Linked DNA regions of Callithrix jacchus. The protein of the gene in region 1 purifies or fractionates together with the protein of each later gene. This does not show direct contact. Links are inferred from orthologs where the notes say so. Each region holds a gene or a part of one and is shown on either strand. Other genes may lie near its edges.

Region 1 (6,281 bases):
AGAGCGTTGCTTGAACCTGGGAGACAGAGGTTGCATGAACCGAGATCGCACCATTGCACTCCAGTCTCAGTGACAGAGTGAGACTCTGTCTCAGAAAAAAAAGAGCTCCAATCTGATCAGCTAGAAACTGTGTGGCCTGCCTCTATAGTGCTATTCCTATTTATCCTTTCCTTTCTATTTTCATGGCTACCATCTCTTACCTTTGCTTCTCCTCCTCTTTAATCATTGCTATTCAACATTTATTAATATTTCTCAAATATAACGATGACATCATCCTCCATACAAAATCATACAGCTCCCTTGGCCACAAAATAGGATGCAGAGTTGGGTGTGCTGGTGCAAGCCTGTATTTTCCCAGCTATTTGGGGGACCAAGGTGAGACTGCTTGAGCTCAGTTTAAGGCCAGTGTGTGAAACACCGCAATATCCCTCCCCCTCCCCACTTTGTTATTTGAGACAGGGTCTCACTCTGTTACCCAGGCTGGAGTGCACTGGTGCAATCACGATTCACTGCAGCTTCAACCTCCTGCGTTCAGGAGTTCCTCCTGCTTCAGGCTCTGAAGGTGCTAAGATTTCAAGGTGTGAGCCAGCATGCCAGGCTCCTATGTCTCTTTTTTTCTGAGACAGAGCTTTGTGCTTTCACCCAGACTGCAGTGTAATGGCAGGATCTCAGCTCACTGCGACCTCCACCTCCCAGGTTCAAGTGTTTCTTCTGCCTTAGCCTCCCAAGTAGCTCGGATTAGAGGCATGAGCCAACATGCCCCTATGTCTCTTAAAAAGTGAAATTGATGGCTGGGTAGGGTGGTTCACACCAGTAATCCCAGCACTTTGGGAGACTGAGGCAGGTGGACCACGAGGTCAGGAGTTTGAGACCAGCCTGGCCAACACGGTGAAACCCCGTCTCTACTAAAAATGCAAAAAATTAGCTGGGCATGGTGGCACGTGCCTGTAATCCCAGCTACTCAGGAGGCTGAAGCAGGAGAATTGCCTGAACCCAGGAGGTGGACGTTGCGGTGAGCCGAGATCACGCCATTGCACTCCAGCCTGGGTAACAAGAGTGAAACTCCGTCTCAAAAAAAAAAAAAAAAATTATATATACACACACACACATAAAAATTAGCGGGGTATGGTGATGGGTGTCTATAATCCCAGCTACTCGGGAGGCTGAGGCAGGAGAATTGCTTGAACCCAGGAGGTGGAGGTTGCAGTGTGCCAAGTGCACTCCAGCCTGGGTGACAGAGCAAGACTCCATCTCGGAAAAAAAAAAAAATTGATTTAAACTTCTTACTATCCCAGGTCCTTCACAATTTGATTCTAACCTACCTTTTTTTTTTGTTGTCATTGTTGAGATGGAGTTTCCCTCTGTCACCCAGGCTGGAGTGCAATGGGGGAATCTTGGCTCACCACAACCTCTGCCTCCTGGGTTCAAGCGATTCTCCTGCTTCAGCCTCTCGAGTGGCTGAGATTACAGGTATATTATTGTTTTAAATAGAGACGGGATTTCTCTATGTTGGTCAGGCTGGTTTCAAACTCCTGACCTCAGGTGATCCACCTGCCTCACCCTCCCAAAGTGCTGGGATTACAGGTGTGAGCCACCACTCTGGGCCCTACCTTTTTCTTTCTTTCTGTTTTTGTTTTGTTTTGTTTCTTGAGTCAGGGTTTCACAGTTGCCCAGGCAGGGGTGCAGCTGCACTAACATGGCTCACTTTAGCCCGGACCTCCCAAGCTCAGGCAATCCTCCTACCGAAGTCTCTTGGGTAGCTGGGACCACAGGTGACATCACCATGGCTGGCTAATTAAAAACAAAGTTTTTTGTAGAGATGGCATCTCGCTATGTTGTCTAGGCTGGTCTCAAACTCCTGGGCTCAAGTGATTCTCCTGCCTCAGCCTCCCAAGGCCCAGGCACTGAAGCAATGTTCCCTGAGTTATTCCTGCCTCCTCAATCTTAAATTGATCTCAGTTCGACTATTCTATACTATGTACTCCACACCATCCTCTTCTAACAATTTCCCTGCTCCCATTCATGGCAGCCTCTGGGGAAAAAAGGTTAAACAGGAGAAGATAAAGATGAGTGTGAGGGCAAAGTGGAGGCGTGAAAACTGCAGCTCCCCTGTCCCTGCCAACTGTAATAGGGCCCAGTGTTGTTTTTTTTTTCAGATGGAGTTTTGCTCTTGTTGACCAGGCTGGAGTGCAATGGCGCCGTCTTGGCTCAACGCACCCTCCCCCTCCCGGTTTGAAATGATTCTGTTGCGTCAATCTCCGGAGTAGCTGGGATTACAGGCGCCCCCCACCGCGCCCGCCTCATATGTACATTGTTTAGTAGAGACGGGGTTTCGCCAAGTTGGCCAGAATGGTCTTGAACTCCCAACTTCAGTGATCCGCTGGCCTCGGCCTCCCAAACTGCTAGGATGGCAGGAGTGAGTCACCGCGCCGGGGCCAGGGCCCAGCTCTTTACCCTGAGGGTAAAAGTGTCTGCAAAAGGCCCACGACCAGGCTTGGCGGAGAAAACCAGGACGCTGGCTGGGCTCGGTGGCTCACGCCTGTTATCCCAGCATTTTGGGAGGCCGAGGCGGGCGGATCACCTGAGGTCAGGAGTTCGAGACCAGACTGGCCAAGATGAAGAAACCCCCTTCGCTACGAAAAGTACAAAAATCAGTCGGGCGTGGAGCCGCATGCCTGTAATCCCAGCTGCTCGCGAGGCTGAGGCGGGAGAATCTCTTGAACCCGGGAGGCGGAGGTTGCAGGGAGCCGAGATCGCGCCATCGCACTCCAGCCTGGACGATAGGGTGAAATTCCATCTCAAAAAAATAGAAAAAGAAAAAGGAAAAAGAAAACCAGGGCGCGGTAGAAACAGCGCTGATTTCAGGCAGGAAGACCTGCTATGATGACAGAAACCGTCCCAGCCTCCGTGGTGGTTTTCCGCAGGCCGGACGTCGGCCGTCAGTCTGGCCCAGGTCTCGCGCCCGCGGTTTTCAGGAGCAGCCCGGGCCGGCCTGGCCACCGCCGTCGTGTTCCCCGGGGGCCGCTCCCTCGCGGCAGTCGCAGTTCCCGCCTCTAGGCCCCGGCGCCCGCTGAGCGGACGGAGGAGGGGCGTCTCCGGCGCAGGTTCCAGGACCCGCCCCCCGCGCCAGTTGCCAGGGAGCGGTTGCCATAGAGCTGAGCAGTTGTCCGCGTGCGCAGGCGGAAGTCCCGGATTGAGGCGCCGCCATTTTTGCTGCCCGGACGCGGAGCGAAAGGCTGAGAGAGTCGTAGACACTATCCGTTTCCATCCGTCGCGCAGACCCTGCCGGAGCCGCTGCCGCTATGGATGATCGGGAGGATCTGGTGTACCAGGCGAAGCTGGCCGAGCAGGCTGAGCGATACGACGGTGAGTTGTGGGGGCAACGGGGGGCTGGAATTCTTGGACCCTCTGCCGCCGCCCACAGAGGCCGGGAACGGGAGACAAAATGGCGGCATCGTCCGCGAGCGTGGCCCGGGGACTTGGGTTCGGGGAGCGGAACCTGGCTTGGGAACTCCCGGAGCGACGGGAGGCCGTGTGCCCCGGAATGTGACCCCTTCGCTGTCCTCAGCTACACATACCTCGCGGGCCGAGAGGCCGGGGTGGAGGAGTTGGTTGTAAAATGGCGGCTGGGGGGAGGGCGAATCCCGGGGCGGGGGAGGGGGAGGAGATGGCGGGCGCTGCCGCGGAACCGGCCACCCCCAGGGAAGCTTCCGGGACGGCCTTGGGAGGTGGAGAACGATTGGGTAGGGTGACGGGGGAAGCAGCACCCTCCACACGGGAGAGCGCCAAGACCGGGAGCTGTAGCGCGGGCGCCTTTCAGGGAAATATGGCGGGTGGGGGCGGTGGCTTCTCCCCGGAGGCTTCGTGTGGGGCGGCGGCCGTGGAGTCTCACAAAGGAGAGCCTGGAACGCGATGCGCTTCCTCGGGCCTGGGTCGGGAGGCCGCCCTGGGTGACAGCGGGGAGCGGGCGAGCGAGCATCGCTGCTCTGGGTCCTGGGCGGTGGCGGGCTGCGGGGCCGCGGTCGGGTTTGTTTTGCGTCCGCCGGCGCCGCGGAGTGAGGGGTTTCGGGCTTTTCCCCCCTCGCCGCCTTCCGGGGAGGTCCAGAAGATCCGGGCTCCCGCCCCTTTTCCGCGCTCTAAATGGTGAAGCTCGAAGTTCCTGTAACCTTTCTCTGGCTCCGTCAGCAGCGGGTTCTGATGGATGGAACCAGGAGACCAGGGGGCTGCGCGACTCTGGGTTCGAGCCTTCGTCCTCGCGTTTGGGAAAACGATGACTTTACAGTTTGTCCGCACCCTCATGACACATGGGAAAAAAAAGACCTGTTGAAATAAAGTTGTTTCCAGTAGCGTTTAGTAACTGTATTTTGGTTGACTCTGCAGGCTCGAAATGCGGGTTTGTACTTCGTGGGGGACCTTTGCCTCTTCCAGGCACTCGGCTGGGCCTGGGGTCTTTGAGTTATGAAGGTTGGAGGTCCTATTCTTTTTTTTTATTATTATTTTTTATTTTAAATAAGTGGGTTTATGTAGGACTTTGAGTAGTTCCTCTTTGCTCATTGTCCCTTTGCCCTTAATTGGTTCTTCAGTCCTCTTTCAGAACTTGATCGAAATATCCATTGTGTCTGCCAGGAAGTTTCTTCTTCATCCTCCCCCCCATCCACCTTTTTTGACCTGTAGACTTGAATTTCCCTCACATTTAGAATTTTTCGATACTGTGGTATTACCGAAACCAGAAGTCCTGTATGCGGCTGCTGTGGTTTTCATGCTTTTGCATGGTACGGTGGGGTGAGACATGGTTGGAATCTAGTGTCCTTGATGTGAGATTTTTCCTGGTTAAGCTACCTATATTTCAAAATGTTTCAGAGGGCCATTGCTTTCCTGGAAATGCCGATTTGGTCATGTGAATAACCTCAGGGCTGGTTCCCATTATCAGAAATGAGGATTCAGGGATTTGAAAATAAGACAAGTCCTCTAGAGCTCAAATATACGAAATATGCTGAACTAAATTTCGTCTTGTAAATTCTTTGTTATTTGTATTGAACAAAGTTGCTGTTGGGGGAGGGAAGGGATAAAATGGGGAAGTACAGCTCAAGGTCAGCTCTCTTTATTTCAGTGTTGAAAAATCAAACAAATAGGTGTGCTTATATTGGAAGACTCCCCTCCGCCCTCATCTCCAGATGTTCCCCTCTTCATCTATTAGTGTTCTCCGTAGGAAACAAATGATACTTGAATGCTTTCTGTTTTGTGGGGATTGGGGCTATTTAATTAAACTGGCTGTGGTAACTAGAAAGAATGTGAGTTTTTTTTTTTTAAACCGATTGGAAAGCTTATGATTGTAGTTTCCAAATAAATTACAGGTTATTGTAGTTATATTTTGGCGTGAGGATTTCTGACCAGAACCTTTATTGGGTTTTGAACGTAGGATTCTTTGATACGGCCACAATATTGCAGTTATTAATGTTAGGTGTCCCTTTCAGCATCTAAAGCGGTAGGAAAATAGATCTCCAAGGTGAGGAGCTCTTCCTGTGACTTGGGCATAAGGTAAGGACTCAGTAGAAAGGGGAGGGGAGACAGACACCAGGAATCGGCCTCTGTCTTTGTCCATTCCTTTATTTAGGGCAATATTTTTTTGTTTGTGGTGACAAAAAGTTTTTCCCTTAGTTCTAGTCACCAAATGGAATTGATCAAGTGTGGGGAGGGGGTGGGACTGGTGGAAGAAGCTAAGAGTATTGGCAGGATTTCTTTTTTGGGTGCTTGTATGCAAGTGCTGGTTTTCCAGCTGTCCTTCGCTCTTATCTCCCTGTACTGCAGTAGGTTTATTTTGTTTTGCTTGCTGTGTTAAACGAGTGCCTAAACTTCTTTGTAGCCTCATTTAATTCTGTCCTGGGGCATTGGAATCAATTTATATGGATTATTTAATGGTACGGGAGGAAGAGTTAAGTTGTGTTCAGGAAAAGGACAATTTTGGGTCACAGGAAATACTGAAGTTTGGGGCTAGGAGTTGAAGATTACATCTAGCATCTCATTACTTTAACAAGCTAGTGGTCTAAGGAATAGTTTTTACATCGTTTAAAACCATGTTAAGCAAGTCCATCATTTAACATTTCTCAAGTAAGTCTTACCGTCCCATATACAAATTGGTACAAAAACGTGGGGAATAGGCTGGGTGCGGTGGCTCAGGCCTGTCATCCCAGGACTTTGGGAGGCCAAGGTGGGTGGGTCACCTGAGGTCAGGAGTTCAAGACCAGTCTGGCCAATGTGGTGAAACCCTGTCTCTACAAAAA
Region 2 (6,281 bases), on another chromosome or scaffold:
TACTAAAATAACCCAAGATGTTAGAGATTTAATATCTAAGCAAGAGGAAAAGTCACCAATGTAAACGGAGAATGGTAAAAAAGAAAGAATAGCTACTATAACTATATGCATGGGATGTTTCTGAGGAACCTAGAGGTGAATGAAGTCCCCAGGGATGGTAAGTTAGGGAAGAGAGTAGAGAAATGAGCAGAACTATGAGGGGAAAAAAAAAGCTATCTCTAGATTATTTAGTAAACAAGTTTTTACTGAATGCCTGCTACGTGGTAACCGGTAACTGTGGAGAACAATATTAGAGGTTTAAGATTTAAAGGGCCAGGACGGTGGCTCACGCCTGTAATCCCAGCACTTTGGGAGGCTGAGGTGGGCCGATCACAAGGTCAAGAGATTGAGACCATGGTGAAACCCCTTCTCTACTAAAAAATACAAAAATTAGCTGAATGTGGTGGCGTGGGCCTGTGGTCCCAGCTACTCGGGAAGCTGAGGCAGGAGAATTGCTTGAACCCGGGAGGTTGCAGTGAGCCGAGACCGCACCACTGCACTCCAGCCTGGTGCCTGGCAGCAGAGCAAGACTCTGTCTCAAAAAAAAAAAAAAAAAATTTAAATACTATCCTCAGGCATTCTGAGACTCTCCTTTCTGTGGCATATGTCTTAAAATGTTAGATTCAAGAAGGCCTTAGATTTTTATGCATAAAAGTCCTCCTTTTTTTTTTTTCTTTCAGACAGAATTTTGCTCCTGTTGTCCAGGCTGGAGTGCAATGGCACGATCTGGGCTCACCATAACCTCCACCTCCTGGTTCAAGCGATTCTCCTGCTTCAGCTGCAGAGTAGCGGGGATTACAGGCATGCGCCACCATGACCGTCTAATTTTGTATTTTTAATAGAGACGGCGTTTCTCCATATTGGTCGGGCTGGTCTCGAACTTCTGACCTCAGGTGATCTGCCGGCCTCGGGCTCCCAAAATGCTGGGATTACAGGCGTGAGCCACTGCTTTCGGCCCAAAGGGGATCCTTTTTTTTTTTTTTTTTTTTTCTTTGATACGGAGTTTCGCTCCTGTTACCCAGGCTGGAGTGCAATGGCGCGATCTCGGCTCACCGCAACCTCCTCCTCCTGGGTTCAGGCAATTCTGCCTCAGCCTCCTGAGTAGCTGGGATTACAGGCACACGCCACCATGCCCAGCTAATCTTTTGTATTTTTAGTAGAGACAGGGTTTCACCATGTTGACCAGGATGGTCTCGATCTGTTGACCTCGTGATCCACACGCCTCGGCCTCCCAAAGTGCTGGGATTACAGGCGTGAGCCACCGCGCCCGGCCCTGGTGCTCCATTTTTTTAAACAAATAGAAGTAAACTGATTTTCCACTGAGCTGTTTCTGAGGTGCACATCCTCTTTCCTATGCCTTTGACACCTCTGTTAATGGGTTTGTAATACAAATTCCTGGAAGAAACCCAGAGATATTTTGACATTACACAACAGTTTCTCCCTCACAAGTGCCAGCTCCCTTCACCCTCGGAGCTGGGGTAGCTGGGCCGGATGGGTCCCATTCCCATCTCTCTCATTTCAAATGCTGCAGTGGAAACGTGGTCTGGAAAATGAATGAAAGGGGTGGATCCAGAATGTAGGGAGAAACCAAGTAGAAGCTCAACAGAGAATGGTACAGGAAGTTGTAACGAGTATTTAAGGAAAGAAGAGAGGGGGCGGGAAGATGCTTTCTCCGTGGGCGATGAGGAGCGAAGGAAAGGGTTTTAGACTCTAGCTTTGGGGGCTGGGTGTCAACTCATGTCTCTGGGCTGAGGTTTCCACATCTGTAAAGCTGGAGAAGTTAAGACTTGCCTGGCCAACGAAAGTGCACGACCATTGTTACAACCAAGTATCGATGGTGATAAGAACTAAACAGAAAACACAAATAACACTCATCCGGTCTCCAAGGGGGTGGTTTAAGGTTAGGCGGCAAAACTGAAGTAATTTCTAAAGTCCCTTAGGAAAAAAATTCTGAAACTTGAGCCACAAATTAAGAGGCAGATGGCTTTTCGCCTTGCAAACGACCTGCCATAGACTCAGTCGGTCACTGCCTCTGCTAGCTATCTGCTATCCTTGGGCCCCGTAAGCAGCCCACGTGGGAGACCTTTCCCGGGATCTACTCGGACGTCTGGGACATCCCAGACGTCTGGGACCTGCCACTTCAGCAGGCTAGAGACAACCCCGGTGCTTGTGCGCCGCGCACGCGGAACAGCTCAGGCTGCCCGGGGCTAGGGGCGGGCCGAGGCCGGGGCGGAGCCAGGACTGGGAATCCCCGCTCAGTCCGGCCGGTTGTAGGGGGAGGGGGAGGACCGGGCGTGTGTGTGGGCGTTGCGGGCCTCTGCGCAGGCGCCGACCCACTCCCCTTGGCCGGGCGCGCGCCCGCGGCGGGTTCCATCCCGGCGGGCGGAGGGGGGCGCGTGCACGAGCGAGCGGCCGTGACGTGCGCCGCTCTACGCCCGCCGTCACGGGTCTGTGTGTAGTGGCGGCCGGGCTGCCTGCCCTCAGCGGCGGCGCCTGACGAGGGTGCTGCGGCCGCTGGGCGCAGCGTTCGAGGGGCGCACGGCCCGCGGCGGCAACGACGAGGACGAGTAGTGCGCTTGTCCACGGAGTCGCCACTCCCGCCTCTTCTACGGTCTCTGGCAACGCGGGCCCGCGGCTTCCTCCTTTCCTGTCCAGCTCCCCGCGGGCCTCGGGGTTGCAGCAGCGAGAAGCATCGAGGAGCCCCAGGAGGACCTGGCCGGCCGTGAGGATTCACGCGCTTGCCACCCCATTCGGCCTGGGCTTCATGTGAAAGAGGGACGGGCCTGGCTCCCCGGCCCGTGCCGGACTCCTCGCGCGCCCCCCCGGCCCCGGGGGGCCCAGCGGCCGCCCCCGACCGGGCCGCGGTGACAGGCCGCGAGGGGGTGGAGGGGCGGGTTCGGCGGGGGCGGCCCCTCCTTAGGCCTGCGGCTCTCTACGTCCCTGCGGAACAGCCGGTACGTGCGTGTGTGCGTGTGTGTGTGTGTGTGTGTGTGTGTGTGTGTCGGGGCTGAGAAGGGGCTGGCGGCGGCCTAAGCGCCGCTCCGGGTCGGAGGTTTCGATGGTGATTGCCTGGGTCCGGGAGGGTGGACCTTGGGCCCCCTGCAACCGGTTCTGAAGCCCAGGTCAGCGAGAAGTAGGCTGCTGGGCTGTGTTAGTGTCAGACACGTACCCTGCAGAGATTTTAGAAGGAATGATGCAGTTGGTTTTGGGATGAAGCAGAAATGATTTAAGGTTTTTCCCTTTTCTCTTTACGGAATATTTAGGTAGCACTTACGGTGCTGTTAGTCTGTGCCCGGCAGTTGTCGTGATTATCTGTCTTCAGCTTCCCAGCCCAATGGAGTGGGTATATTGCCCCATTTTACAGCTGAAATCTTTGAGGCTCAGAGAAATTAAGGCGTTTGTCCAAGGTCATGAAGCTAGTAATCCAGGAAGACTTGGTTCGAATATGCGGATGGCTTTTTGTAAGACTATTTCTCGCCTTGCAAAAATAAATACGTGAAGAAAATGAGACTAACTGGGCAGTTTCTTTAATGGGGAAAATTCTAAACACATAGGCAGTTACAGTTTATTTTTTCCTAACATAGGCTCTTCGTTGTCTTTTGCCAAATCATTTCTTTGGCTTTAAAAATAAAAAGATGGTTTCAGATACCTTTACTTTCTATGTACTAGTACTGTACAGCAAAAATTTACTGTCTTACAAAAAAGAAATACACTTGGTGAAACGGCATAGATCTTGAAAAGTTACAAGTTGACTTTTGTAGTTTGTCCTTGATGGCTAAAGGGAACTCACAGTGGGTTATTTGCTTGAGATTCCCTTGTTGCAAAATTTGTTGCTGGATTATGAGGCAATTTAGTGATTCGTGCATTGTCTTATGCAATATTTTATAGTTCGATGTGAAATTTTAATGTGTAGAATGTCGTAGAAAGTTTGATGGTGTGATTCTCTTTCATTTATATGGAGTGCTACTTACCAGTGTTTGTAAACTAACTGAAAATTCTCATTTTAGCATGGGTTTTTTTTTTTTTTTTTTTAAACTATGGTCAGGGGAAAAAAAGAGCCAGAGCTCTGTACAGAAAAACAGTTGATACATTCCATTGAGTAATTGAAGCTTTATGCATAATTGCAAATGTTTAAGAAGTCTATTGATGCCCAATTATACTAGTCTGTTATTTTCCTAGTATATTGTCAGGTTGAAGAAAATTTGTGGCCTTGCAGTCTCTGTAAAGAAAAGAAATTACAAAGTTAACATGTTGCTGCTTTACAGATTGATTTGTTGTTTGGTTAAAACATAAACATACGTTGAATCATTTTAGAATGGTTATCTATGTGCCTGTTTTGAGAAACTAGCTGTTAAAGGCTTATCTTAAATAATTGAATTGCATTAGAGACTGAATCTTTTAAGTAATGTTTTAAGTGGAGCTTTTGTTTCTCGTTTACTTTATTAGTACCCAAGCGGTAAACTAATAGGTGCTGTATTAAAATAAAGTCATGTTTGATACTCCACATTTCCTACAGCGTTGGTTTCAGGTTGATTTGCTCTTTCCCTGTAGAATTGTAGCTATTTGCCCCACCTCCCACTTTTTATTATCAAACAATTTCAAGCATACAGAAAATTTGGTAATAGTAAACCACTTGTATGATGACCCTCTAAACATTTGTTGATATCTTGCCATATTTGGTTTATCTATAAGTACATGTACAGGCATACCCTAGAGAGATTGTGGCTTTTGGTTCCAGACCACCGCAATAAAGCAAATGAAGTGAGTCACACAAATTTTTTAGTTTCACATTGCATATAAAGTTATGTTTGCAATATACTATAGTCTATTGTGTGCAATGGCATTATGTCTAAAAGAAATGTATACTTTAATTAAAAATTATTTATTGCTAAAAATTGCTAAAGAACATTACGCCTTTAGAGAGTTGTAATCTTTTTGCTGGTGGAGGGTCTTGCCTCCATGTTGATGGCCGCTGACTAGTAAGTAAGGGTGGTTGATAAGGGTGGTTGTTGAAGTTTGGGATGACTGAGGCAATTTCTTAAAATAAGACATTAGTGAAGTTTGCTGCATCAATGGACTCTTCCTTTCATGAAAGATTTCACTCTAGCATGTGATGTTGTTTGTTACCACTTCAATAATAATCACAGTATCTTCATTGGGAGTAGATTCCATCTCAAGAAGCTACTTTCTGGCCAGGCCGAATGGGGTCACGCTTATAATCCCAGCAGTTTGGGAGGCTGTGGCAGGAGGATTGCTTGCACCAAGCAATTCAAGAACAGCCTTGGCAACATGGCAAAAACCCATTAAAAAAATACAAAAGTTGGCCGGGTACGGTGGCTCACGCCTATAATCCCAGCACTTTGGGAGGCCGAGGTGGGTGGATCACAAGGTCAAGAGATTGAGACCATCTGGTCAACACGGAGAAACCCCGTCTTTACTAAAAATACAAAAATTAGCTGGGCATGGTGGCGCACACCTGTAGTCCCAGCTACTCAGGAGGCTGAGGCAGGAGAATTGCTTGAACCCAGGAGGTGGAGTTGCAGTGAGCTGAGATCGCGCCATTGCACTCCAGCCTTGGTAACAAGAGTGAAACTCTGTCTCAAAAAAAAAAAAAACAAACCCACAAAAGTTAGCTGCTTGTGGTAGTTTGGGAAGCTGAAGCAGGAGGATTGCTTGTGCCAGGGAGGTCAGGGCTGCAGTGAGCTGTGACACTGCACTCTAGCCTGGGCAACAGAGCAAGACCCTGTCTCCAAAAAAAAAAAAAGCGACTTTGTTTCCTCATCCATAAGAAGCAACTTCTTATCCGTTCAAGTTTTAGCTCCACTTCCAATTGTAGTTCTTTTGCTGTTTTCATCACATCTGCAGTTACTTCTTCCACTGAAGTCTTGAACCCCTCAAAGTCATCCATGAGGGCTGGAATCAGCTTCTTTCAAATTCCCGTCAATGTTGATGTTTTGACCTCCTCCCATGAATCATCAGTGTTCTTAATAGCATCTAGAATTATGAATCCTTTCCAGAAGGGTTTCAATTTACTTTGCTCAGATCTATCAGAAGAATCTGATCACTCTCTATGGTAGTTAAGCCTTATAAAATATATTTCTTTTTTTCTCTTTTTTTAGCTTCACAGTGCATACAAAGTTATGTTTACAATATACTGTAGTCTATTAAAGTATGCAATGACATTCTTAAAATAATATATATAACTAAAATTTTTCATTGCCAAAAAATGCTAAAAGAACATC
Region 3 (6,181 bases), on another chromosome or scaffold:
TTCTATTTTCCTCATTCCTTCTACATTAATTAATTGAAATTATGCTATAAAGAAGAGCTTCTCCATTTATATACTATTCAGTTTTTAATTTACATCAGCATAGGCTCCTGGGTATTCATTTTGTTCTGTGGGTTGCAACCCAGTACTACCATCATTGGTGTTGTTGCTCTAATTATTCCAGCCTTGACCATTGGGAGCTCTTTCAGGTTGGCTCCTGTTCTCATTTTCTTTTTAAAAATAATTTTGTAACTTTTCATCTTGAAATGAATTCAGACTTTTAAAAATTGCAGAGAAAAGAGTTCAGAAAATTCCTTCCTACCCCATTCATTTATTTAGTTAGTTGTTTGTATCATTACAGACACATGTGATTTTTATTCTATGGGTTATAATTCATTCCTGTCTTTACTTATTTTGTCGCTCAAATTGTCTCAAATTAGGCCATTATCTCTGGTGCCTTTTAAGTGTATATAAACTGACCTTCAGATTTTTTTCCTCAGAAAACGTTGAGAGCCATGCTGGTATATACTCCTTGCCACAGTTTAGCAGAAAGAATCAAACTTCAGAGACTTCTCCGGCCAGTTGTAGACACCATCCTAGTCAAATGTGCAGATGCCAATAGGTAAGGCTTTGTTGATGAACCACTTGAAACCATCTTGTCTTAAAAGTGCCTTGCAGCAAGCCTCACACCTAGTGAATGCCTGATACATTTTATTAAATGAGTCTTTGAACACTGTATTTTAATCCAAGATTTAAAATGAAAGTGCAGCACTTAAAGCTCTTAAGGACTGGGGAAAAGAACTGCCAGCAAGTAGAAGCCAGGCTGACAAACTGCATGGATCTCCACATTATTGTATTGTGATTTATTCTCTTAAATAACATTCATAATCTGAAGTCCAGTTGATAAGAATGATAGTTGACATTTATATTCATAAGGTATAATCTCATTTTAGAGTATGGATTACACAGGATAGGAACCAGTAAGATCATTACAGCCACATATGCCTTAATATCAGGATAAAAAATTAACAAATGCATCTCATTATTTTCAGTGTAATGGAATTTTATTCTAAATTATGACAGTTTTTGTCAAAAAATTTTTAGATTTTTTTTTTTATTTTCCTGCAATATCCTTGAAAATTGTCAGGGATCAAGAATAACCCTAACTGGAAAGAAAAATGTGAAGTAGAGAAGTAAGATACAATGACAGTAAAAACAAATATAAGCCATGCTTTTTTTAGACCAATAGTTCTCTATTATTTTTCCCTTCCATAAAATAGGAGGCAAAGATCACTTTTCATGTAATAATCACAGCTCCCATGAATAGTTGTTTGGTAGTTCCTGTTTCTTTCTAGCCCAGCAGATCTTGGTTAGCAAGAAGTGTTGAATCTCCCTTGCCTCTTCCATTTCACCCATTTTGAGGTCTGTCAGTACCTTTCTCTTCCTCTTCAAGTCATAATGACTTAGTTTGCACAGGATCTCAAAAATTAGGTACCTACGTTTAACTAATTTCTCATCTAATGAAGTCTGTCTTTTGCCTCTGTTGTTTTCCCTATAGATTGAAAATGTCAGATGTTTTCTTTTCACTTAGGGAAAACATTGTAAATATTTTTAAAATGGGCAAATTAACAAGCAGTTTGCAAAGTGCATAGGAAAATGTCAGTTTTCAATATTAGAATAGGTATTTTTCTGAGAATTCAGTGATCTCATGGTGTTTGTTGTGCTGCTTACTTTCTGAAATTCTAAAGTTTGGTGGTTTACCTGGTCACCTGAATGACTGAACATAAGAAATACTGTAGAGAGATATTATAATATTCAGAACCTCATTCTGGCTATGTAAGGGAATGTAGGATTTTTGGATGGGAAGATTTTGTTTTTAATTCAAGAGATTCTTAGTGAAAGTTCAGAAATCAAAATGTCAGCGTCCTTTTTCTTTTTTTTTTAAACAAAATATGATAAGACTTTTATCAGATTTGGTATTTAAATCAATACTTAGAGCCATTGTTGAAGATTCTGTGCTTAACATAGATATATGTTAAATTTATGAAATTAGACCTAATGAATGAATATTACTATTTATGGTGACACCCTTAATGTGATTTCAGTGGTGGAAAAGTAAACACTTCTGAAAACATTATTTCTCCACTTTTTCACAAGGCACTGCATTACTCCTCTAATACTGAATAGTATTTTATCCAAGATCCAAGATTGATATTGCTTTTCTTTTGCTTTTAGCCGCACAAGTCAGCTGTCCATATCAACATTGTTGGAGTTGTGCAAAGGCCAAGCAGGAGAGTTGGCAGTTGGTAGAGAAATACTAAAAGCTGGTAATAACTTTTCACTTAAAATAAATATAACTTATTTTATCATGTTCCTGAGGAGCTTTGTCTAATCTCATAATCTCTCATGAGGCAGTTACAAGATTTTGAAGTACTTTTATAAATTGATTCATTGTGTTACAGTTAAATATGTGAATTAATCTGAGAGAGAAATTCTTTAAAATAGTTGAGAACATTTTTGTTGGCTTTATACCATTTATGTCTTGTTTTAGATTTTAATATCACTATTTTTTAATCATTTATTTTTACTCTCCTTTTTGTAGGATCCATTGGTATTGGTGGTGTTGATTATGTCTTAAATTGTATTCTTGGAAACCAAACTGAATCAAACAACTGGCAAGAACTCCTTGGCCGCCTTTGTCTTATAGACAGACTGTTGTTGGAATTTCCTGCTGAATTTTATCCTCATATTGTCAGTACTGATGTTTCACAAGCTGAGCCTGTTGAAATCAGGTAATTTTTCTTCTGAAAATGTATTACTTGTATCTTCCTACCCTTCCTGCATGCTCCTCAAGAATGACACATTTTAGATTTATGAAAGACTCAGAAACTACAGAGCATAAGTAGGCTGCTGATAATTTAATATTTGGTTGACATATGAAACCCTGAAGTCTAAGGTGTTTAATTTAAAATTTATAGATACTTTATGCTGAAATGGTTTTTGAAGTATATATACATCCTGTAAATTACTACCATTTTTTAAGTTTCCATGTACTTTTCAGTAATCAGAACTTACATGGTAATGAATGTTTTTTTCTTTCAGGTATAAGAAGCTGCTGTCCCTCTTAACCTTTGCTTTACAGTCCATTGATAATTCTCACTCAATGGTTGGTAAACTTTCCAGAAGGATCTACTTGAGTTCTGCAAGAATGGTCACTGCAGTACCCCATGTGTTTTCAAAACTGTTAGAAATGCTGAGTGTTTCCAGTTCCACTCACTTCACCAGGATGCGTCGCCGTTTGATGGCTATTGCAGATGAGGTGGAAATTGCTGAAGCCATCGAGTTGGGCGTAGAAGACAATTTGGATAGTCAACAGGATGGCTTTTTGCAGGCATCTGTCCCCAGCAACTATCCAGAAACCACAGAGAACAGTTCCCCTGAGTGTACAATCCATTTAGACAAAACTGGAAAAGGATTATGTGCTACAAAATTGAGTGCCAGTTCAGAGAACATTTCTGACAGACTGGCCAGCATTTCACTAGGACCTCCTAGTTCAACAACAACAGAGCAACCAAAGCCAATGGTTCAAACAAAAGGCAGACCCCACAGTCAGTGTTTGAACTCCTCTCCTTTATCTCATCATTCCCAATTAATGTTCCCAGCCTTGTCAACCCCTTCTTCTTCAGCCCCATCTGTACCAGCTGGCACTGCAACAGATGTCTCTAAGCATAGACTTCAGGGATTCGTTCCCTGCAAAATACCTTCTGCATCTCCTCAAACACAGCGCAAGTTTTCTCTACAATTCCAGAGAAACTGTCCTGAAAACAAAGACTCAGATAAACTTTCCCCAGTCTTTACTCAGTCAAGACCCTTGCCCTCCAGTAACATACACAGGCCAAAGCCATCTCGACCTACCCCAGGTAATACAAGTAAACAGGGAGATCCCTCAAAAAATAGCATGACACTTGATCTGAACAGTAGTTCCAAATGTGATGACAGCTTTGGCTGTAGCAGCAATAGTAGTAATGCTGTTATACCCAGTGATGAGACAGTGTTCACCCCAGTAGAGGAGAAATGCAGATTAGATGTCAATACAGAGCTCAACTCCAGTATTGAGGACCTTCTTGAAGCATCTATGCCTTCAAGTGATACAACAGTAACTTTTAAGTCAGAAGTTGCTGTCCTGTCTCCTGAAAAGGCTGAAAATGATGATACCTACAAAGATGATGTGAATCATAATCAGAAGTGCAAAGAAAAGATGGAAGCTGAAGAAGAAGAAGCTTTAGCAATTGCCATGGCAATGTCAGCGTCTCAGGATGCCCTCCCCATAGTTCCTCAGCTGCAGGTTGAAAATGGAGAAGATATCATCATTATTCAACAGGATGTAAGTATAGATTCTTTAAGAGGTTACTTGGGGCTGGGCAGTGACTCACACCTGTAATTCCAGCACTTTGGGAGGCTGAGGTGGAAGGATTGCCTGAGCACAGGAGTTTGAGACCAGCCTGGGTGACAAAGCAAGACCCTGTCTCTACAAAAAATTGTTTTAAAAATTAGCCAGTCATTATAGTGCATGCCTGGTGTCCCAGCTACTCCGGAGGCTGAGGTGGGAGGGTCACTTGAACTTGGGAATTTGAGGCTGCAGTGAGCTGTGATTACACCACTGTACTCCAGCCTAAATGACAGAGCAAGAAACTCTCAAAAAGAGTTTCCCTGGACCATGCTGAAATCTAATTCAGAAATGTTGCTTCTAACATGAGTTAATCATTGCAAACAGGTCTTTCGATGTAAAATTATTAATTACACAACAACAACATTTTAGCAATACTTCTTGCCTATATAAAAGGCATTTCTAGTTAATTCTATAATGGTGATCATTTTTGCATTTGACATTGGTCACCAGTAATTTCCATTCAGAGGTCACATTTATAGGTGGTTTGGGAGGCCAAACTGAACAAGAATAATATCTTGCCAGACTAATTTCCCAAAATCTTACTCCTTTAACAGTAAAAAGATTGCTTTCATTTAATATGTAGACACCAGAGACTCTACCAGGACATACCAAAGCAAAACAACCATATAGAGAAGACACTGAATGGCTGAAAGGTCAGCAGATAGGCCTTGGAGCATTTTCTTCTTGTTACCAGGCTCAAGATGTGGGAACTGGAACTTTAATGGCTGTTAAACAGGTAAATATATAGCGAGCATATAAATGAAATCATGAAATGAAGCATATTCAATAAAAAGAACAAAAAATATGTCTACATGTGTGTGTACTTTAGTTCTTTAAAGTTTGAGAAACTTGAATTTCAAAGTAGATGTTTCCAAAGTACCAGAAACATCATGAATTCTGTTATTAAAAGTTGAGGCTGGGCGCAGTGGCTCACGCCTCTAATGCCAGCACTTTGGGAGGCTGAGGGTGGTTGCATCATTTGAGGTCAGGAGTTCAGGACCAGTCTGGCCAACATGGTGAAACCCTGCCTCTATTAACAGTACAAAAATTGGCCAGGCATGGTGGTGGGCGCCTGTAGTCACAGCTACTCAGAAGGCTGAGGCAGGAGAATCGCTTGAACCTGCGAGGTGGAGGTTGCATTGGGCCAAGATTGCACACTGTCCTCTAGCCTCAGTGACAGAGCAAGACTCCTCCTCAAATAAAATAAATAAAAGTTGAAGTATGATTATTGTAAAACTACAGTATCAAGATGGCCTTAAAAATGTTTTTTGGTTTTGCTTTTTGTAGGTATTAGAAGTGTGGTTTTCAGGTACTTCTTTCAGCTGTGTACTGATGGAGTGCCATCTTGGGGTTTCATTGGTTTACTTTTTATAATGAGCATACTTATCCTAACTCTCATTTTTAAATCATGTTGATTTTTCCATATTTGAGCTTTTCTCATTTTTACTCTGAGACTACTGGAATATTGACTGTATCCCAGCATTTTTATCATTTTTCTGATGTTTACTGCTGCTTAAGCTAGATTCTTAATGTTTAAAAGAGTTTTTTTTTTTTTAAGTACGCTGCATCCATGAGCATAAATGCCATCTAATATATATGCTAGTTTGCATTTGTTCATTTGAGATCAGATTGCTGGGGAAAATATGCAGAACTTTGTGAACATGTTTATTTGATTGAAACAGGTGACGTATGTCAGGAACACATCTTCTGAGCAAGAAGAAGTGGTAGAAGCAT

The links.
Region 2: the proteins of YWHAE (region 1) and MAP3K2 purify together in Homo sapiens (affinity purification with mass spectrometry; 6 studies listed by BioGRID and IntAct, with this or other methods). This does not show direct contact. The link is inferred for Callithrix jacchus from reciprocal best matches to the Homo sapiens genes YWHAE and MAP3K2.
Region 3: the proteins of YWHAE (region 1) and MAP3K1 purify together in Homo sapiens (co-immunoprecipitation; 3 studies listed by BioGRID and IntAct, with this or other methods). This does not show direct contact. The link is inferred for Callithrix jacchus from reciprocal best matches to the Homo sapiens genes YWHAE and MAP3K1.

What each region holds. Positions count from the first base shown.
Region 1 is NC_133506.1:66,851,367-66,857,647, forward strand, and holds the start of YWHAE (14-3-3 protein epsilon), read left to right. Parts: upstream 1-3,190; 5' UTR 3,191-3,302; coding exon 3,303-3,366; intron 3,367-6,281. UniProt on the Homo sapiens protein: Adapter protein implicated in the regulation of a large spectrum of both general and specialized signaling pathways. Binds to a large number of partners, usually by recognition of a phosphoserine or phosphothreonine motif.
Region 2 is NC_133507.1:37,086,552-37,092,832, forward strand, and holds the start of MAP3K2 (mitogen-activated protein kinase kinase kinase 2), read left to right. Parts: upstream 1-2,479; 5' UTR 2,480-2,993; intron 2,994-6,281. UniProt on the Homo sapiens protein: Component of a protein kinase signal transduction cascade. Regulates the JNK and ERK5 pathways by phosphorylating and activating MAP2K5 and MAP2K7. Plays a role in caveolae kiss-and-run dynamics.
Region 3 is NC_133503.1:152,994,341-153,000,521, reverse strand, and holds part of MAP3K1 (mitogen-activated protein kinase kinase kinase 1), read left to right. Parts: intron 1-497; coding exon 498-619; intron 620-2,232; coding exon 2,233-2,324; intron 2,325-2,599; coding exon 2,600-2,789; intron 2,790-3,099; coding exon 3,100-4,381; intron 4,382-5,030; coding exon 5,031-5,183; intron 5,184-6,129; coding exon 6,130-6,181. UniProt on the Homo sapiens protein: Component of a protein kinase signal transduction cascade. Activates the ERK and JNK kinase pathways by phosphorylation of MAP2K1 and MAP2K4. May phosphorylate the MAPK8/JNK1 kinase.